Linked DNA regions of Coturnix japonica. The protein of the gene in region 4 purifies or fractionates together with the protein of the main gene of each other region. This does not show direct contact. Links are inferred from orthologs where the notes say so. Each region holds a gene or a part of one and is shown on either strand. Other genes may lie near its edges.

The links.
Region 1: the proteins of RBM17 (region 4) and CHERP purify together in Homo sapiens (co-immunoprecipitation; 4 studies listed by BioGRID and IntAct, counting the BioPlex papers as one, with this or other methods). This does not show direct contact. The link is inferred for Coturnix japonica from reciprocal best matches to the Homo sapiens genes RBM17 and CHERP.
Region 2: the proteins of RBM17 (region 4) and SNRPA1 purify together in Homo sapiens (affinity purification with mass spectrometry; 5 studies listed by BioGRID and IntAct, with this or other methods). This does not show direct contact. The link is inferred for Coturnix japonica from reciprocal best matches to the Homo sapiens genes RBM17 and SNRPA1.
Region 3: the proteins of RBM17 (region 4) and SF3A3 purify together in Homo sapiens (affinity purification with mass spectrometry; 4 studies listed by BioGRID and IntAct, counting the BioPlex papers as one, with this or other methods). This does not show direct contact. The link is inferred for Coturnix japonica from reciprocal best matches to the Homo sapiens genes RBM17 and SF3A3.

The regions. Positions count from the first base shown.
Region 1 is NC_029543.1:3,379,487-3,383,702, reverse strand, and holds part of CHERP (calcium homeostasis endoplasmic reticulum protein), read right to left. Parts: intron 3,903-4,216; coding exon 3,664-3,902; intron 2,912-3,663; coding exon 2,778-2,911; intron 2,501-2,777; coding exon 2,414-2,500; intron 2,128-2,413; coding exon 1,978-2,127; intron 1,861-1,977; coding exon 1,744-1,860; intron 1,568-1,743; coding exon 1,473-1,567; intron 967-1,472; coding exon 781-966; intron 45-780; coding exon 7-44; 3' UTR 1-6. UniProt on the Homo sapiens protein: Involved in calcium homeostasis, growth and proliferation.
Region 2 is NC_029525.1:15,973,540-15,978,201, reverse strand, and holds the start of SNRPA1 (U2 small nuclear ribonucleoprotein A'), read left to right. Parts: upstream 1-1,691; 5' UTR 1,692-1,790; coding exon 1,791-1,872; intron 1,873-2,095; coding exon 2,096-2,243; intron 2,244-2,962; coding exon 2,963-3,041; intron 3,042-3,188; coding exon 3,189-3,235; intron 3,236-3,333; coding exon 3,334-3,436; intron 3,437-3,944; coding exon 3,945-4,024; intron 4,025-4,662. UniProt on the Homo sapiens protein: Involved in pre-mRNA splicing as component of the spliceosome. Associated with sn-RNP U2, where it contributes to the binding of stem loop IV of U2 snRNA.
Region 3 is NC_029538.1:3,123,765-3,128,528, reverse strand, and holds the start of SF3A3 (splicing factor 3A subunit 3), read right to left. Parts: upstream 3,284-4,764; 5' UTR 3,237-3,283; coding exon 3,141-3,236; intron 3,019-3,140; coding exon 2,971-3,018; intron 2,845-2,970; coding exon 2,792-2,844; intron 1,962-2,791; coding exon 1,856-1,961; intron 1,478-1,855; coding exon 1,405-1,477; intron 1,022-1,404; coding exon 930-1,021; intron 656-929; coding exon 573-655; intron 261-572; coding exon 122-260; intron 1-121. UniProt on the Homo sapiens protein: Component of the 17S U2 SnRNP complex of the spliceosome, a large ribonucleoprotein complex that removes introns from transcribed pre-mRNAs.
Region 4 is NC_029516.1:3,129,517-3,132,482, forward strand, and holds part of RBM17 (splicing factor 45), read left to right. Parts: intron 1-745; coding exon 746-897; intron 898-1,582; coding exon 1,583-1,659; intron 1,660-2,054; coding exon 2,055-2,153; intron 2,154-2,644; coding exon 2,645-2,717; intron 2,718-2,851; coding exon 2,852-2,955; 3' UTR 2,956-2,966. UniProt on the Homo sapiens protein: Splice factor that binds to the single-stranded 3'AG at the exon/intron border and promotes its utilization in the second catalytic step. Involved in the regulation of alternative splicing and the utilization of cryptic splice sites.

The DNA.
Region 1 (4,216 bases), on a different chromosome or scaffold from region 4:
AGAGTCTTATTCAGGTGGTGGAGGGTCTTGCGTTTCACGCTTCACTGAAACAATAGGGAAAAGAGCACTTACACATTTCAGACAGCTTAGGTAACTGCAGAATGCTTCATGGAATGAGGGCTCTGTTAATAACAATCGTTTTCCTTTGTGCCTTTGTTTGAATCCATTTGATTACGCAGATCTACTGCAGCCATAGGCAGAAGTGACTTTTCATCTGGCATGCCAATTTTTCCCTTCTAATCACTGCTAAAATTCATGGTTTGGGTGTTTTCATCTCCTAAGAAGCATCTCTATTTTTTCTGCACCCTACCTGAAACTGCATACAGTGACTTTATCACCAGTTCTGGGGTTGACAGAACACAGCACTCATTGCAGGAGCTGGGCAGGGCCAAAAAGTGAGTGTGGGACAACTTCCCTCCAACCACACCCTTCCTGCTCTGGCAGCCATCCATCCCTGGCATGGCCCCCTCCACTACCTTTGTGACCGATCTTGTTGTTTAAAGGATAACATTTAAAGACAGAGACTACTGCTACAGGCAGGATGTGGCTTACACAGAACACGCTAATTAATTAACATTTCAGAAATCAGAATACAGCACAATCCCAAGAAGTAGAAGACATAGGGTTAATCAGTGTGTTCACTTACCTGTCGTTTATTTTACCCATTACATTAGAAAGAATTAAGAGTTAATTTGATTTTGAGTTTACATTCTACCGTAAAACTCCTTAAATAAGGTAAAATCACAAACAACATGAGCAGTTTTTTGAACATCTACTTACATTCATCCCTAGCCTTCATACGTGCGATAAATGAGTAACTTTTATTTCTTCTGTAGTTCTCATACGGGTCATCTAATGCAACTCCCACTCCTTTATATTGATCCCATTTGTCTCGAATATCTCCTCCTTTAATTGGGTCCTGAATTCCTTGTTCCTTGGCTCCCAATCCACCAGACCCACTCCATCCTGTACAAAGTACACGACACTGTAACTTGTAACCATTGCAACACTAGAATTGCGAACAGACATCCTGGAAATAATGAATAGAACTGCCAGTTCAATGTGGCAGGGTAGTAACAGTCTGAAACAACGTATGAACTGTCCCATCTACTTCAAAAGCAGCAATTCTGGGAGCTGAACAGCATCAGCTCAATCCCTAAAAGCTTTCTAAGAGGACAAGCACAAGGCCAACCTGTCCTGTCAGTCCTGCTGATGCTGATCTGTGCTATAAGGAGATGAAACGTGCCAGGTAGTTAAATTCTATTTCATGCTAAGCTCACATCCCTCTCATCCGCATCCTTCTCATGTTTCATGCTCTCTGTATTACATCTCTGAATATCCTTATTCTCACCTTAGAATACCAAGGTGCTGTAAGGGACAATAATTAAGATTTGCAAAGATTAACTGGATGCAGGAGCTGCTCGCCCCATTTTGTTTGCTGGCTTATGGCAGATTCAAGAACAGCGCCTTACCCATTTTCACAAGCATCTGATGGCCTTTATTTTCCTCTCCAAGTCTTGATTCTGGAACAGGAGGTCCAGAACTGGAACCTAAGCCAGCAGAAGAGCTAAGGAAATAAGAAGATGAAATTAAGAACAAGCAATAACTGTTCTGACCCAGTGCAAAGTCATTTATGTTCTGTTAAACATTAACACCCAGTGTAACCTTGTCTGCTCTACTAAGAAATTCTTTTATAAAGCTGTAAACTTACAAAGGTAAAAAGAGAAACAAACAAAAGCTTACGGAGGGGTGGGGCTACGAGAGCGAGACCGGCGCCGCCTGCCTGGAGAGTAAGACTTGGATCTTGATCGTGACCGTGATCGTGAACGGCTGTGAGAAGAGCGGGACCTGCTCCGGCTTCTAGAAAGAGACAGCACAAACCCATCAGTCACACAGCACACCAGAGCAATGCCCAGGGTTCCACGCTCAGCCCTGCAGGTCGTTCCCCCACCTCCACCTCTGAGTTCCGCACTCTACCTGGACTGAGAGCGTGAATAGGATCGGGACCGAGAGCAGGAGCGAGATCGGGACCTTGAGTAGGAGCCAGATGACTTTGAAGATCGTGAATTGGAGCGGGAGGAGGAGCGACCTCGGCTTTTAGACCGACTGCGAGACCGAGAAGGGCCACTGCACAGACAGAAGCAGAAAAACTCCTGTGAAACTCCTTGGAGATGCTTGAGCATCTCAATGTAACTGTGCTTTTGATCAAACTGAAATCACACACACAGCATTTCTGCAAACAAGCCCAACAAAACTCGAGTGCAAAAAAGAAATTTTCTATGGATTACACCAATTAAAACTCAGTTAAATCCAGTAACATATTGCTGAACTGTTTCCCTACAACAGTGCAAGGCAGTCCTAGCACCTTCCAAACAAACAGCACGCACAGAAGGCAGCAGACAAGGTCTCTCACCTATTTCTCTTCTCCTGACCTTTCCTCCGCCTTGCTCTCATTTTAGCTCTGAAGAATTCATACAGTCCATTCTGCTCCCAGCCTTCACTGCAATAAATCAACCACACATAGAACAGACATCTGTAAAACTCAATCATGATCAACAGAGGATTTCCGCTCAATGTGGTAGGGAACAAAGAGCCTGGGCACCAAGGTCTTGCAACATCTCAGTGTAAGATCAAACGGTTTAAAATACAACAAGAGCACTTGTTCTTAGCATTAGAAGAACCAAGACATGGGTGAAGGAAGAGAGAACCACTTCTTGGTTTGAGACAGCTCCTTAGGGCATTTTCCTTACCATATTGTTAGCTATACCTACTCTTACCTGTTTCTAGGCCTGTCATGAGATGGTGGACTATAAAATGCCTCAACCGCAGCCAGTAGTCTCTCACTGGGGGGCATTGGGGGTGGAAGACGTATATCTTTAGGATCTAAAGGTTTATACTCATGATCTTCAAGCTGCCGGAAACAAAACAAATTACATTCTTGTCATGTGTCATGGGGTGGCCAATCTGAAGAGATAAATATAAATTTAACCTTGTAGGGACCTCACAGTTCACTATTGGATAAAAATGCTCCAGTAATAAGGATTCTGCAGATGACCCAAAGCTTTCTTGTGCTATCACCATCATTTTGAGATAAGCCAGTAAATACACATACTGAGACATTAACTGGACCACCAGGTAGATCAATTGCAGGTGTTACCTATCCAGCTCTGTGATAATAGTGCCTGGATTGGAAACCTGGTAAAAACCGGTGCGTGCTGAGGGTAACAGAAAGTTAAGATGGAATAGACCTGTTTGTTCATCTCAAGCACAGAATGCATACATGCATATATCCCCCAAGATGTTGATACAGATACGTATCCCTACCATTCGTTGTTTGTGTGTACAACATTAGTGTCACAAAACATCTATGTAAGAAAGAACTCCAAATACCAAGACTAGCGTACAGTGGCCCCACCAGAACCGCCAGTTCCCTCTGCCTATATGGAAATCACTGGAGGTAACACCGTCAAAAGCACATCAGTCTTTCACGTATACAGGCTTAACTGGCTTTCACTAGAACACAACACTTCAGATTCTCACCATTTACACTACCTTCCCCGTCTGCTGGATGGAGAGATGTGAAATCATAAGCGTCCGTGTTAAACTGCCTGTAACGCTGACTATGGGATTTTGATGGAGTCTGGGCCCATCCCAAGCACTTACTTTTACAAGTGGAGCCATCAGTCCAGCAGGAAGATCAAAATAGGGAACATTTGGCACCAGACTGGGATCATCGTGGTTCATGTGAGGGGGGCCTTGTCGCCGCATGTGAGGAGGCTGCCCATTAAATCCATGTGGGGGAGGCCCAAAATCAGGGTGCTGCGGCCCTCCCCAGGGAGGATGCTCGCTGATTCCAGGATGAGGCAATCTGTGCCCAGGGTGATGATGAGGAGGTCCAATTTCTGCACAGAGTGGAAGGGTTAAAACATTTTACTTAGCTGTAGAGAAAGGAAGGCAATCAGAAGCGTACTTCTATTAGTGCATTTATCTTAAAAACAACCTTGGCACCTAGAGCCTTGCAGACCAAGAAAAGTGACAGAAGAACTAGAGGCTGGCTACAGGCCCGTATCCATGAAAGTCTTGCAGCACATCTCCCTCCCTGGCTATAGCAAATACCCTCAAGACAACTGGATATTAACTGTAAGTCACCCCTTACTGTAGAACACACTGCATTCAAAAAGTACAAGAAAGATGGCTCAAGAACAAAAGGTTTCAG
Region 2 (4,662 bases), on a different chromosome or scaffold from region 4:
TGGGGGCTCGCTGCCCTTTTCCCATCCATACTCTGAGCATCCCACAGCCCTGCTGCCCACACTGCAGCTCACACCCAGCCCTCCTTGGCTGGGAGCAGAGGGAGCTCTGGAGCCTGCTGTTGTGTTTGTTTTGCAGCGATTAACTGCCCAGGGTAGTGCTTGGGTATCTGGTTCTGAGCTTTAAAAAGGGAAAAACTGAGCCCTCCCGTGAGGGGCTTATAGAACACCCCGAGTTGGAAGGGATCCACAATGATCACAGAGTCTGAAAGAGGATGTTTCCTCAGAGCTGTGCTGCTGTGGGCTCGTGCATCTCACAGCTTTTCACAAGTATCAGAGGATCAGTGGGACTGAGCCAGATGATTTATCACACACTGATTCCTTCTGCTGCTCTGGGATCCCCCTGTTGTTCTCGGGCCAAACCAGAGGTCAGAAATGGGGCGAAATGCTTCTGGCTTCTGCCACTTTGCTCATCAAATAACAAACTTCCATTGCTGTTGTCATGTCCCAGTCCCAGCCGGGAGCACCGTGTCAGCTCTGGCACTCAGCTCTGCCGTGGTATATTTAGATGCACTGAAATGCTGAATTTACCCTTATCCTTGGCACAAACTATGAAAGCACAGCCTGGCTGAGGTAGTGCAATTGAAGATGACCAATCCCCAGCAGTCTGTGCTTTCTGCTGCCTTCCAGCCCACAGGGAAAGAGAAACAAATCCTCCGTGTCGAGTTCATACAACGACATCAGCTCCCAGTGTTTCCCAGGGCTCCGACTCCCTCAGAAATCATTCCTGGAAAGCAATAACATTCAGATTATTTATCTAAGCTATTGCTTGGAGCTATTAAAGCCTCTCAGCCGCTGGTATGCACAGAGGATCAAAGTGTGCCTCTACCAGATAAACGAATACAATTTATTAAAGCACATTTCTTCATTGTCTCTTGGCACCAACAACTCAACTCTAACAGCTGGATCTTAGTGCAGCCTGAAGCCCCGCTCGCAGTTTGGCTGTGAGGCTGCATCCACAGCAATCTTAAAAACCACCACTTGGACTTTCCAGTACAAAGGAGCTTTCCAGAGCTCGTGTACAGCATCTGAAACCAAGAACTGCTCTGTTACAACCCCATTACAACCCCTAGAGCTGAGCAATACAGTGTGTTGTGCTATAGGAGGAAGGTCCGCATTCAGGTGGCTCTGAGACGCCTCCAGCTGTGTTGGGCTGTGCACAGGGAAGCAGTTCCCTCTGCTGACCGAAGTGCTGCAGCGCTTCAACTGCGACCACACCAGAATTGGGCACAAGGACAACTTTTATTTATTTATTTTTTATTTATTTAAATTGGCTCTTATTTACAATGATGCACTGGCACGGGTTGCCAAGACAAGCGATGGATGCTCCCCTCTACAACACCCAGCGCTGTCCCTTCTAACCCAACCACGCTGTGATTCCATGATTCTGATTTCTATGCGCTTTCCTTCCAGCTCGACAGCTCAGAAAAGCCACCTCTATACAGCCCCTCCCGGCCGCCATTTTGTGGAGGAGGGGCTGCAAGAGGACGGCCCTCTTCCTCTCGGCTATGCTCGGCTGTGTTCGGCTGTGTTCGGCTGTGCTCGGCTGTGTTCGGCTGTGTTCGGCTGTGTTCGGCTATGTTCGGCTGTGTTCGGTTGTACTCGGCTGTATTCGGCTGTGTTCGGCTGTTCTCGGCTGTACTCGGCTGTTCTCGGCTGTACTCGGCTGTGTTCGGCCTCGCTCGGCCGTGCGGCGCGTTGTGGGCTCGGTGCGGCCTGTGTGTCCGGGCGGGATGGTGAAGCTGACGGCGGAGCTGATCGAGCAGGCGGCTCAATACACCAACGCCGTGCGAGACCGAGAGCTCGACCTGCGGGGTGAGATGGATCTGCCGGGAGGGAGCCGGGCCTGGCTTTGTGGGGGGGGATCGGGAGCGGGCCTGTGTGGGGCCTGCGCTGAGGGGAGGCGTGGGGCCTGCACTGGGAACGGGCCGTGCAATGGGGGGGGTCGTTCTGTGTGTTAAATGCCTCTTTCATGTGTCCCCAGAGCTCCATCCCATCCTGCTTTATTCCCTTCTCACGTTTCTTTTCCCCCCCACAGGGTATAAAATCCCCGTCATTGAGAATTTAGGGGCTACGTTGGATCAGTTCGATGCGATTGATTTCTCGGATAATGAGATTCGGAAATTGGATGGGTTCCCTCTGTTGAGAAGGTTGAAAACTCTTCTGATGAATAACAACAGGATTTGGTACGTGGTTGTGTTGTGATCAGTGTTGTGATCAGACGGGACCTGGGGCAGAGCAGAGTGAAGAAGGGAAAAGAAGCGTGCCCGTGTCTTTTAATACCTGATAGGTGTAAAAATATCTGCTTTATGGGGAAGAAATAGCGCTTGGTATTTGCTTCAGCCTTCAATTAGCCGGCTTTGTTCATTGCAAAGTTCTGCCCCAGCTCTGTGTTCCATTTTCATACAGGACAATGAGATGCAGGGCCTGGAGTTTGTGTTGGGTCCTTGGGGGTTGTTCACTACCCCCATAGTGATGCACAGACAGGGGTGCCTGCAGCTGAGTGAACAGAGCTACCTTGCTGCACCTGGTGCCCTTACAGTGGCAGCTGCTGTTTTATGTTGGCTTTGTTACAAAGCTGATGCTCACCCAAACTTCTGCTGCTGTCATACTTGGCTGTGTTTAAGTGAGGTGCTCTATGTTGGCATGGCTGCCCAGGGAGGTGGTTGGAGTTGCTGTCTCTGTAGGTGTTCCAGAGCCATGGAGAGGGGACAGAGGTGGCCCAAAATGCTTTCAGCTGTGTTGGCCACAGACAGGTTTATTGGGCATGGTGGGGATGGGCTGAATGATCTCTGAGATCTCTCCAGCCTTAATGATTCCGTGATTTTTAATATATCTGTGTCTGTGTCCACCATTGTTAATTTCCAGCCAAAGGTAAAATCTTTGTGTTTTTATTCTTCTGTAGTCGGATTGGGGAAGGACTTGAACAAGCTCTGCCCAGTCTCACAGAGCTGGTTCTTACCAACAACAACATTTCTGAACTGGTAAGTTAGTGATGCAGAATAAATCTTGACAGCTCTAATGTTTTTGTCCTCTTTCTAATTAGTCGTCTTCTTCAGGAGCTTCATTCTGAAATATTTGATTGTCGTGAAATGGATTTAAGATTCTTACTCTGTTCTTCCATTATATAGGGTGAACTGGATCCATTATCAAGTATTAAAACATTGACTTACCTGAGGTGGGTAATCTTGAAAAGAAAAGCAGCGGCTTGTTGTGATATATTTCAATATATTCAATACATGAAGTAACTCTTTGTGACCTTTATTTGCCTCGTAGCATTTTAAGGAACCCAGTAACAAATAAGAAGCATTACAGATTATATGTTATCTACAAAGTTCCCCAAGTCAGAGTGCTGGATTTTCAGAAAGTGAAACTCAAAGTAAGTCTGTTACCTTCGGATTGAACACCAGATGGAGACCTTTTCTCCTATTAACTCATAGAACTGTAGTGAAATCAGTAAAGCTTTTTGCCCCAGCTGTAAATGGCAGTGGAACAGTTTGTCCTATGAGGCTTTAAAGCTGGTGCTTCTCTTTGATGGTTTCACGCCGTTAAGGATGTAATCTGCTTTATTGTTTTTAATTGATGTTTCACTGCTGTTGTTTGTTTAGTCTGATTCTTTTCTGGCTGGCCGGTGTTGGTGGTGATAAGGGGAACGTAGAGAAAGGAATGAGGGATCAGAGCAGAGCCCTCTGCTTGGGGCTGTTGCTTCTAAGAGCACTGAAGTGCTACACCTCGAGTTGGAGTGTTTGTGCAATGTGTTTGTGCTTGTCCTGGGCTCCTCATGCTGATGTTCACTGAAGATGAGCCAAAGCATCTTTCTTTGCAAAGAGCAGCTCTGCGAAATGCTACATCCTTCCATTAACTTTGTATGTGTGGTATCGCTGTAGGAGCGACAGGAGGCAGAGAAAATGTTCAAGGGCAAACGGGGTGCACAGCTTGCAAAGGATATTGCCAGGAGATCAAAAACGTAAGATAAAACAAACGCTTGCACTGGCGTTCTCCTTCAGAAACACCACGTTGTGTGCGGCACCGAACTGAGACGGCCCTGGTTGTTTGGATGGTGGTGAACACATCTGAGATCTTTATGGTAGACCCGTTTGGTCAGGGTGGATCGGGATATAGCAGTAAACAGGGAACTCTGTGTTATTTTACTGCAGAGAGGGGGCTGTGGTTTGCTTGGTTTTGCTCTCTATAGTGACTGGGAACTGAAAAATCTATTGATCACATTGAGGGTGCTCAGTGAGTGCTTAGAACTGTTATCAAATGTGCTCTCGCTGTGGTTAATGAGTGGAAATGGCCCATGTCTGTGATGGCTTTTGAACAAGTGAATCAATGAATCAAACACCCAGTTCACATCCCAAATACACGCAGGACAGGGCGCAGGTCTGTGAAGCTGGGTCACATTTAGGCAGCTCTTTCAAGCTGTGACTTCCATTTCCATAGACAACAAACGTCTGCTGTCCTTTAAGCAGCAGCAGGTAACTCACAAGGAACTTCCACCATTCATTTTACATAGGCTGTCCCAGTATCCTGTGAGATACTGAAATCCAATTCCATTCACTCTGCTTTGTGTGATGGTTCAACAACATCCAAATCCAACAGCTT
Region 3 (4,764 bases), on a different chromosome or scaffold from region 4:
TGTGACATGCAGCTACGCATCTTGCTATTAAGCTTAACCTCAACAATGATTTAACACAGACAACTCAAGGGAAATCCAGCACAAATACAAATGCATTGACACTGAATTCACAGCTGCTCACCGGCCAGCCAGGGAATGTCCCATTTTCCCACTTCTTCTCAAACTCGGTCTGAATTTTCCCAAAGAGCTCATTCTGGTCCAGTAATGGTTTCACACGATCTGTGTACTCCTGTAGGTACTCCAGAAGCATTTCAAGATACCTGGCAAAGTAATTATCAGCACAGACAATTCCATATCAAAGTACTGATATAACAAAGTTACCGAGATTAGAACAGATTTCAATACAGCAAACTAAAGTACTGCCTCAAAATTAGAAGCCCAACGGCTTCCCACGTTTTGTTGTGCTTCACGTCCTCTCAGGGCTCAAGGGATTTATGACCGAGTTAATACAGCTCAGTGACCCAATCTCTGTCACCTCTGCTTGATTACTAACTCTGCTCCTGGACACTTGAGAAGCAAATTCCTTCTCATCAACTACTTTCATGAATGAAGCAGGCAGGAAAAAGACTCACCTCTTATATTCAGCGTTTTTTCTCTCTTTGGGGATGTCAAAGAGTTGGTCAAATGTAGACAGATAAGTGATGTAATCCAGTTTCTAAGAATGAAAGGAAGTTTGATTCAGACTTTAGATACACACAGCATATCAGCAACCAATTTCCAGTCACCAGACTAGAAGAAAAGCACAAAGCTCATGCCTTTATTCTGCATGGTCTGCACAGGGCTGGGGTTTACAGTGTGCTTTCTAACACAATGCAAAACAAGCACCATAAAACAGCTATTTGGAAATAAATGACATTTAAAACAGACCACTGAGCCCTCAGCACTGAAGTGCAATACAACAGAGTGCCCACACTACTGCAACCACTTACCTCTGATGATTTCAGATTAATGTATTTGAGATAGCAATCATGCAGATCTAAGTATCTTCCATACCCTTCTTCATCTGTGAACTCCACCAGGTCTGCAGGAAAGAGCACGCAGGGCTTTGTTACAAACTCAACATCCTCTGCTTGTTATATGCATGCTTTAGAAGCTGAACTGCAGACTAGTTTATCTTTCTTAAGCATGTTTATAATGCAAATGGATACTCATCGACTAGATGGCCACCAGCTTCCTAGTGTTATATCAGACCATCCCCCAAAAGAACCATCTCAACAGTGGAATATTTCAGGGTGGCTGCAGCCCAGAAGAATTTAAATGAAATTAAAACAGTTGTTATGGTTAATGTAGGGAAAGGGAGGTGGAAATCAAAGCAGAACAGACAGGTCACTAAATCACGGCAAGCAATGTGTTCTCAACTAAACAAACCTCAAACAAGAAACAAACAAAACCCTGAAGACTTACTTTGAGCTTCTTCACTTGGGTTGTCTCTGGCCTTCAACAGTTCCTCAAACTCCACTGACATTGGAACACAAATCTTCAGGAACAGAAGAAGTTATAGAAAAAGGGATTAGTTCAGCTAATGCCCAGGAGTAATTAATACAGACTGCAAACAGTAAAACAAGTAACTGAAGAGGTGTTTCAAGCACTTCTTCATGATTATATTTGCACTAAAGACAGCATTAGGCAGGCAAGAATGAATGCTAGCTCAGAAGCAGAATGCTCTTAAACTAATAGAGAGTGTGGAGGACATGGTGAGCATCCTGCATTTTCTCCTACTCAGACAGAGGCTCATATAAAGTCTCAAAGCATCACCTATTTCTAGACACTTTGTTTTCCTGAATGACATTTTAATACAGCAGAGATGAAGCCCAACACACCACAAACCAGTTATCCTTATGGAGCTGCTGCTTACCTCATTGGGATGCTTGCGGTGGAACTCTTTTATTTGTTTCAGTCTGTTATAGAATTCAGCAAATTCATTTGGCCCTGAAATGGCACTGAGCTCCTCCTTCCGTAAGCTACAGGTTCATAAAAAGAAGACAGGTTGCATATAGAAAACACGTTTATGTTGGTTTATATTGGTATAATGTTTGGAAGTCTAACACTGCATTCTGCTCCCACAAAACACCAGTGAGACTGAAATCACAGCCCCACCATATGGGGACAATAATGAAAAGATGGTAGTAAATAACCAAAAGGTTATTTACAAGTTAAGCTCACCCATATGGAAGCCTTAGATCTGCTGGGAACCACTGAAGTGATCACTACCAAGCAGCAATCACCAAGAGATGCTGCATTAGTGGTGGTCAGCCCTTCAATGAGGTCTAGAGGAGGTGAAGTCAAGCTCCACCCCTTTATGGGGAACAGCTAAATTACTCTCACCTGTGCTCCCACAGCTGACCCAACACTTGGCTCAGCTGATTAATCAGAGGTTCAGGCTGTGATTACCAATCTCCCATACACCCACTGATGTTCCACATGCAGCCAGGATTGTGCTTTGAGGATCAGGGTCACATCTCTATTGCAAACGCTGCAGTCTCAGTTAGAGACCGTCTCCCTCAATGATTCAATACCAGAGGGTCTGGTACAGCTGGTGGGGTTGGGTGAGAGGAGGTAGGAGTGTGGTGGGGGATCAGCTCCACCCCCATATGGGGATAGGAAGGGGGACAGGGCTGTAGTACTGCTCTGTGCTTTCTGCTTGAGAAGTGTTTGTGTTGCATGTTTCATGTGAAATCTGGGTCCTCCTCTTTAGGGCAGACCCCCAGCTTTGCATTGTAGCATCATGTCTGTGGTGTATAAAGCAGATCCAAGGCAGCCCCATGTCCATTCCAGCCCGCTATACACTCACCCATCCTTATCGTCATACAGGTCCCTCAGGTTGCTGCTCACTTCCATGTACCTCTAAAACACAACACAAACCTCACGTTGACACAAAGAACCTCAACCAAACCGGGGCCAATCTGGGCCCTGCACCTCCACAGCTACCCGAACCACCCCCAGCCCCACTCACACCCCGACCCCACTCACATCCTGCATAGCCCGAGTCCTGTGGTCGGAGTTGATCTGATCGCGGAGCTGCATAGAAATAAACGGCGTTAATAATGAAGGCCTGAGCCCGGCCTACCCCCCCCACACCCCCCCCCCCTCTCCCCGGGCACACACCCCCTGTGTCCCCCCACTCCCATCCCCGGGCTCACCGTGGATTTCTTAGTGAGCATCTCCTTCACCATGACGTCCATCAGCCGCTCTCGTTCCTCATGGTAGCGCCGCTGCTGCTCAAGGATCGTCTCCATCTTCTCCCCTTCCAGCCCGGAACCAGAAGCTCGCTGTGTAACACCGGAAGGGTCCGGCCCCTTCCCTGAGCCGCTTGATCCGGATTGAATGTGGTTCCGCGTTGATTTTAGCCCATGTGAAGGTGTAGAGCAGTGAGATCCACTGGCCGCCACAAGCCAGTTATCCCAGTTATCCCAGAAAAGTGGGAACTTTTCTGACACCTCTCGCTTCAAACCCATAAAGTCGTAAGGATTGAGAGCACTGCAGGTGCCCCCAGGCTGGGGTGAAAGCCTCCAGCTTCAATGTGGCTGTGGGCAGCGTTATACAGCCATGAATCACAGCCCAAGCAGAATAAAACATGTCCAGTCCGGTGCTGCCTCCTTCCTGCCTGCCTTGGGGTTACAGATGTTGCTCCTGGGATGAACAGACGTTGTGCTTAATGGGCTTTGGACATCACGGCTGAAGGATGTCAGGACTTAGGGGAAATGGTTTTAAGTTAAAAGAGGGAAGATTTAGGTTGGATGTTAGGGGGAAGTTCTTCACTAGGAAAGTGGTTAGGTCCTGGAACAGGCTGCCCAGGGAGGTTGTGGATGCCCCGTCCTTGGAGGTGTTCAAGGCCAGGTTGGACGGGGCCATGGGCAACCTGATCTATGGGGTCTCTATGGGGTCTCTATGGGGATCTATGGGGTCTATGGGGTCTCTATGGGGATCTATGGGGTCTCTATGGGGATCTATGGGGTCTCTATGGTCTCTATGGGGATCTATGGGGTCTCCTGGGCAACCTGAACTAGTAAATGTGTATGTTTGGTGGCCCTGCTAGGCAGGGGGGTTGGAACTACATGATCCTTGAGTATATTGAGGAATAAAGCTGTCTCTGTGAGTTCTGCGGCCTCCCCACCTTTTTGGACCTTAGCTGAGGGTCTGGAAGAAGGGATAACAGCAGGAGGAGCATTCAGGATGCCTGAAGGGCTCAGCCACATCCCTAACCTCACGTAACAGAGGCAAAGGAGAAAGTTCACCTTCAGCTCTGGTTCCCCACTACCCCAGGCAGTATGGACAGTAGTGGACCCGGGCTTGTTAGCACACACAGGTCCAAGTCCAAGCCTTCAGCTGCACCTGGTCTCCAGACCCATCCCTGCAGGGCTGCAGGAGCTGCTGGGGCAGGTTTATGTTGGGTTTAAGAGCTCAGAAGAGGCTGTGCTGGAGCCATGACCTGACGCTGCATGTAGATGCCTGCAGCTGGGAAATGGGTGACCTCCAGCAGGGAGCTGAAAAGAATGTTTGGAAAGAGAGAGCCCTCAACCACAGGGCAGCGAGGGATGCCCACAGTGAGCCCCAAAAGCATGTGGCAGGAGCCACCGTGTCCCTCTGTAGGGTGGCTTTTCAAGCTCAGTGTGTGGTTAATGCTGGGCTCACAGTGAAGGCTCTGCTCGCCTGGCTGCGTGCTGAGGAGTATTTCCGTGCCTGCTTCAGACCATGCTCTGAGAACCCAGGGGAGGTTTGTGCATGACATCACCCTCCCCCTCCCGTAAATCAGGCCCGGGGCCG
Region 4 (2,966 bases):
ATTTATGTATTGCTACCTCCTCTATTGAGCACTGCCCTGGAACCTTCACTTCATTGAAGGAGTTGCTGTTATATTTTGCCTGTACAATTGACTACTGTTTATTCTGTGGCTTAGTGTTTCAGTTTTCAAGCATTACAAAGCCAGGCCTTTGTATGTGTCATGTAGTCGCTGATCCAATGTTTTCTGTGTTATCTTAAATGCCTCTTGGTAGAATGGAAGTGACTTAGTGTACATTATTTACTGTGGTGTAAATTACTGTACCATGACATTTCTTTGATGCCTTGGTCTATCCAGCTATGTGCTCCAAAGAAATGCCAACAAAGATGGTACTTTTAATAGATTAGAGAATTGTTACATTAGTAAACTCTTGAAAATCCAGAAAGAAGAGCCATGTTAATTAATACTGAGAATATCCAGGTTTGTTATAGGAAGTGCTAACAAAACCACGTGCTTTGGATCTTATGCAGACATCAAAACAGTAGGTAGTATAATGTGATCTAATGGGGGAAGCAGATGGTTCCACATCTGCCTTTTCTCTCAGACTTTTGAAGCCAGCCACTGACAAAAGGTCAGAAACTGGACTAAATGAACTTTGGCATGATGTGTGACTTGCTTTGCTACTAGAACTTTGAATGTGTTTGGAAAAGTGTGAGCAACTTTTGAGTACTTGCACGCTCTGGAGAAATGAAATGATGATGTTATTGTAAGAAACCTTTACTAACTGATGGTTTTTTTCTTTTTGCAGAGGGACAGTAGCTCATAAAATCATGCAGAAGTATGGTTTCAGAGAGGGTCAAGGCCTGGGAAAGCATGAACAGGGGCTGAGCACAGCACTCTCTGTAGAGAAAACAAGCAAGAGGGGTGGCAAGATCATTGTTGGTGATGCTACAGAAAAAGGTAATCTTGTCCTGCACCAATAACTGTGAAAAATGATTGTGGGAAATAACAGTCTGTAGTCAGTGGGAGATCCTGGATTTCTGTTAGCCCTTGGTTCTAGCAGAAAATACTACTTAGTTGGAACAAGGTTCTCCTTCTTGTGGGAACTTACCTTCACGACATTTTATTGAAGTGGTCTTCTATTATTTTAACTCATCCTCCCCCTGAAGCTGTCCTTCTTTAGTGTTTGAAACCTTCTACCTGTACATTCACTTCAGTGAGTGATCCTGCTGCACTCCTGCTGGCTTTTTTCCCCCATCATGTGTGTTAGATAATGCCTTCATTTCCCTGCTGTTGTTTGGTCTAGAAACAGCATCTCCACTTAGTAGAACAGCACAATTCTGAACTCAAGTGCTGGAAGTCAGGAGATCTGTTTTTTAATTCTTAGTGCATCTGATGCAGTTTTCAACTCATGAATGATTTCCCTCAAGGAAATAAGACATTGTCTATGGTCTTTGTAGCAGCGATTTTTCTGCATATTGACCTTCCAAGTAGCTGCAAGATCTGAAATACTCTTCCTCACCAGTACTAAACTATACTTAGTGGTTTTTATTTCACTGTTTGCTAACAGTAAGATTCTGATAAAAGCCTTCATATGAGCATTAGTCTAAAATGATTCCATGATTAACTTTTTTTCTCTTCCTAGCAGATGCAACCAAGAAAGCAGATTCTAATCCACTGACTGAGATACTGAAATGCCCAACTAAAGTGGTCCTACTAAGGGTAAGTTGTGATTAAAGCTGTGTCTTGGTATTTCCAGCACTCACAACTGATTTAAGCGCTAAAACCTGCATTCCTGTTACAGTGACTCTGTACAGTTCAGACAGTTCTGAACTGCACCTACATGGTGCTCTGTGTGTTGTGGAGAAAATCTATCACAGGAAAACATACAATTTGTAATTGTAAATCAACACCGATTTAGATTGTGCAGGGACCATGTCACAGTGTCTTAGTATTAGGGAACTGTCTAGGCTCTGGAATGTGACCAAATGGTTCTTGACCTGGTAAACAATAGCTTAAATTATTCATAGTCACCGTTGCATGCATCCGTGATTTATCTACATGATTGTCTATTCAGGCTGCATCCAATGACTTATGTTTATTGTTTAAACTTTCAGAATATGGTGGGTGCTGGTGAGGTGGATGAAGATCTGGAAGTTGAAACTAAGGAAGAATGTGAAAAATATGGCAAGGTTGGGAAATGTGTCATCTTTGAGGTAAGACAGAATCTTTTTCTCTTGTTCTGGTTACTCCAAAGGTTGAACTGGCCATTTGTCTTTCATGACTTGCACACTACTGCTGTGAAGGAGCAGCATAGATTAAAGGATTTCAAAGGGTCCTTTGTTGTGTTGCGATTCCAATGTTTCCAATATTTGTGAAGCGTGAACTCTGAATGTCAGAAATAGCAAAATCCTGGAGTGTTTTGGAACTTTTTCTAGTTCCTCCTGCTAAATTAATCTTTCACTTTGAGATGCTTCTAAGTTTCGATTACTGAAACTTTTCACCCTAGCTGATTCAAAAGGTTTCCATAGAGAAACAGGACCCAAGTTCAGCAGTCTTCAACCTCCCTTTGGCAACTGAAGAATTGAATTACATTGGCTTAATTTTACATTCTGCTTTTGTGAAGAAGTGCTGCGTGATGCAGTGGTTTTGTTACTGTTCTAATCAGACCTGCTGGGGTTTGTTTTGTTTTTGGGTTTTCTTTCAGATTCCTGGTGCCCCTGATGATGAAGCTGTAAGAATATTTTTGGAATTTGAACGGGTTGAGTCTGCAATTAAAGGTAGGTTATTAAACTGTGTCATATGAATTTCAGAGTTCATTTCTTCAAAGAGATTAAACAGTCTCGCTCATTGGACTCAGATTTTTAGTCGCTGATTTGCTGCTTGCTGACCTCTTTTTTTGTTGCAATTATAGCTGTTGTGGATCTAAATGGAAGATACTTTGGCGGCCGAGTGGTGAAGGCTTGTTTCTACAACCTGGACAAGTTCAGAGTACTGGATCTGGCAGAGCAAGTTTGATTTTAAAAATC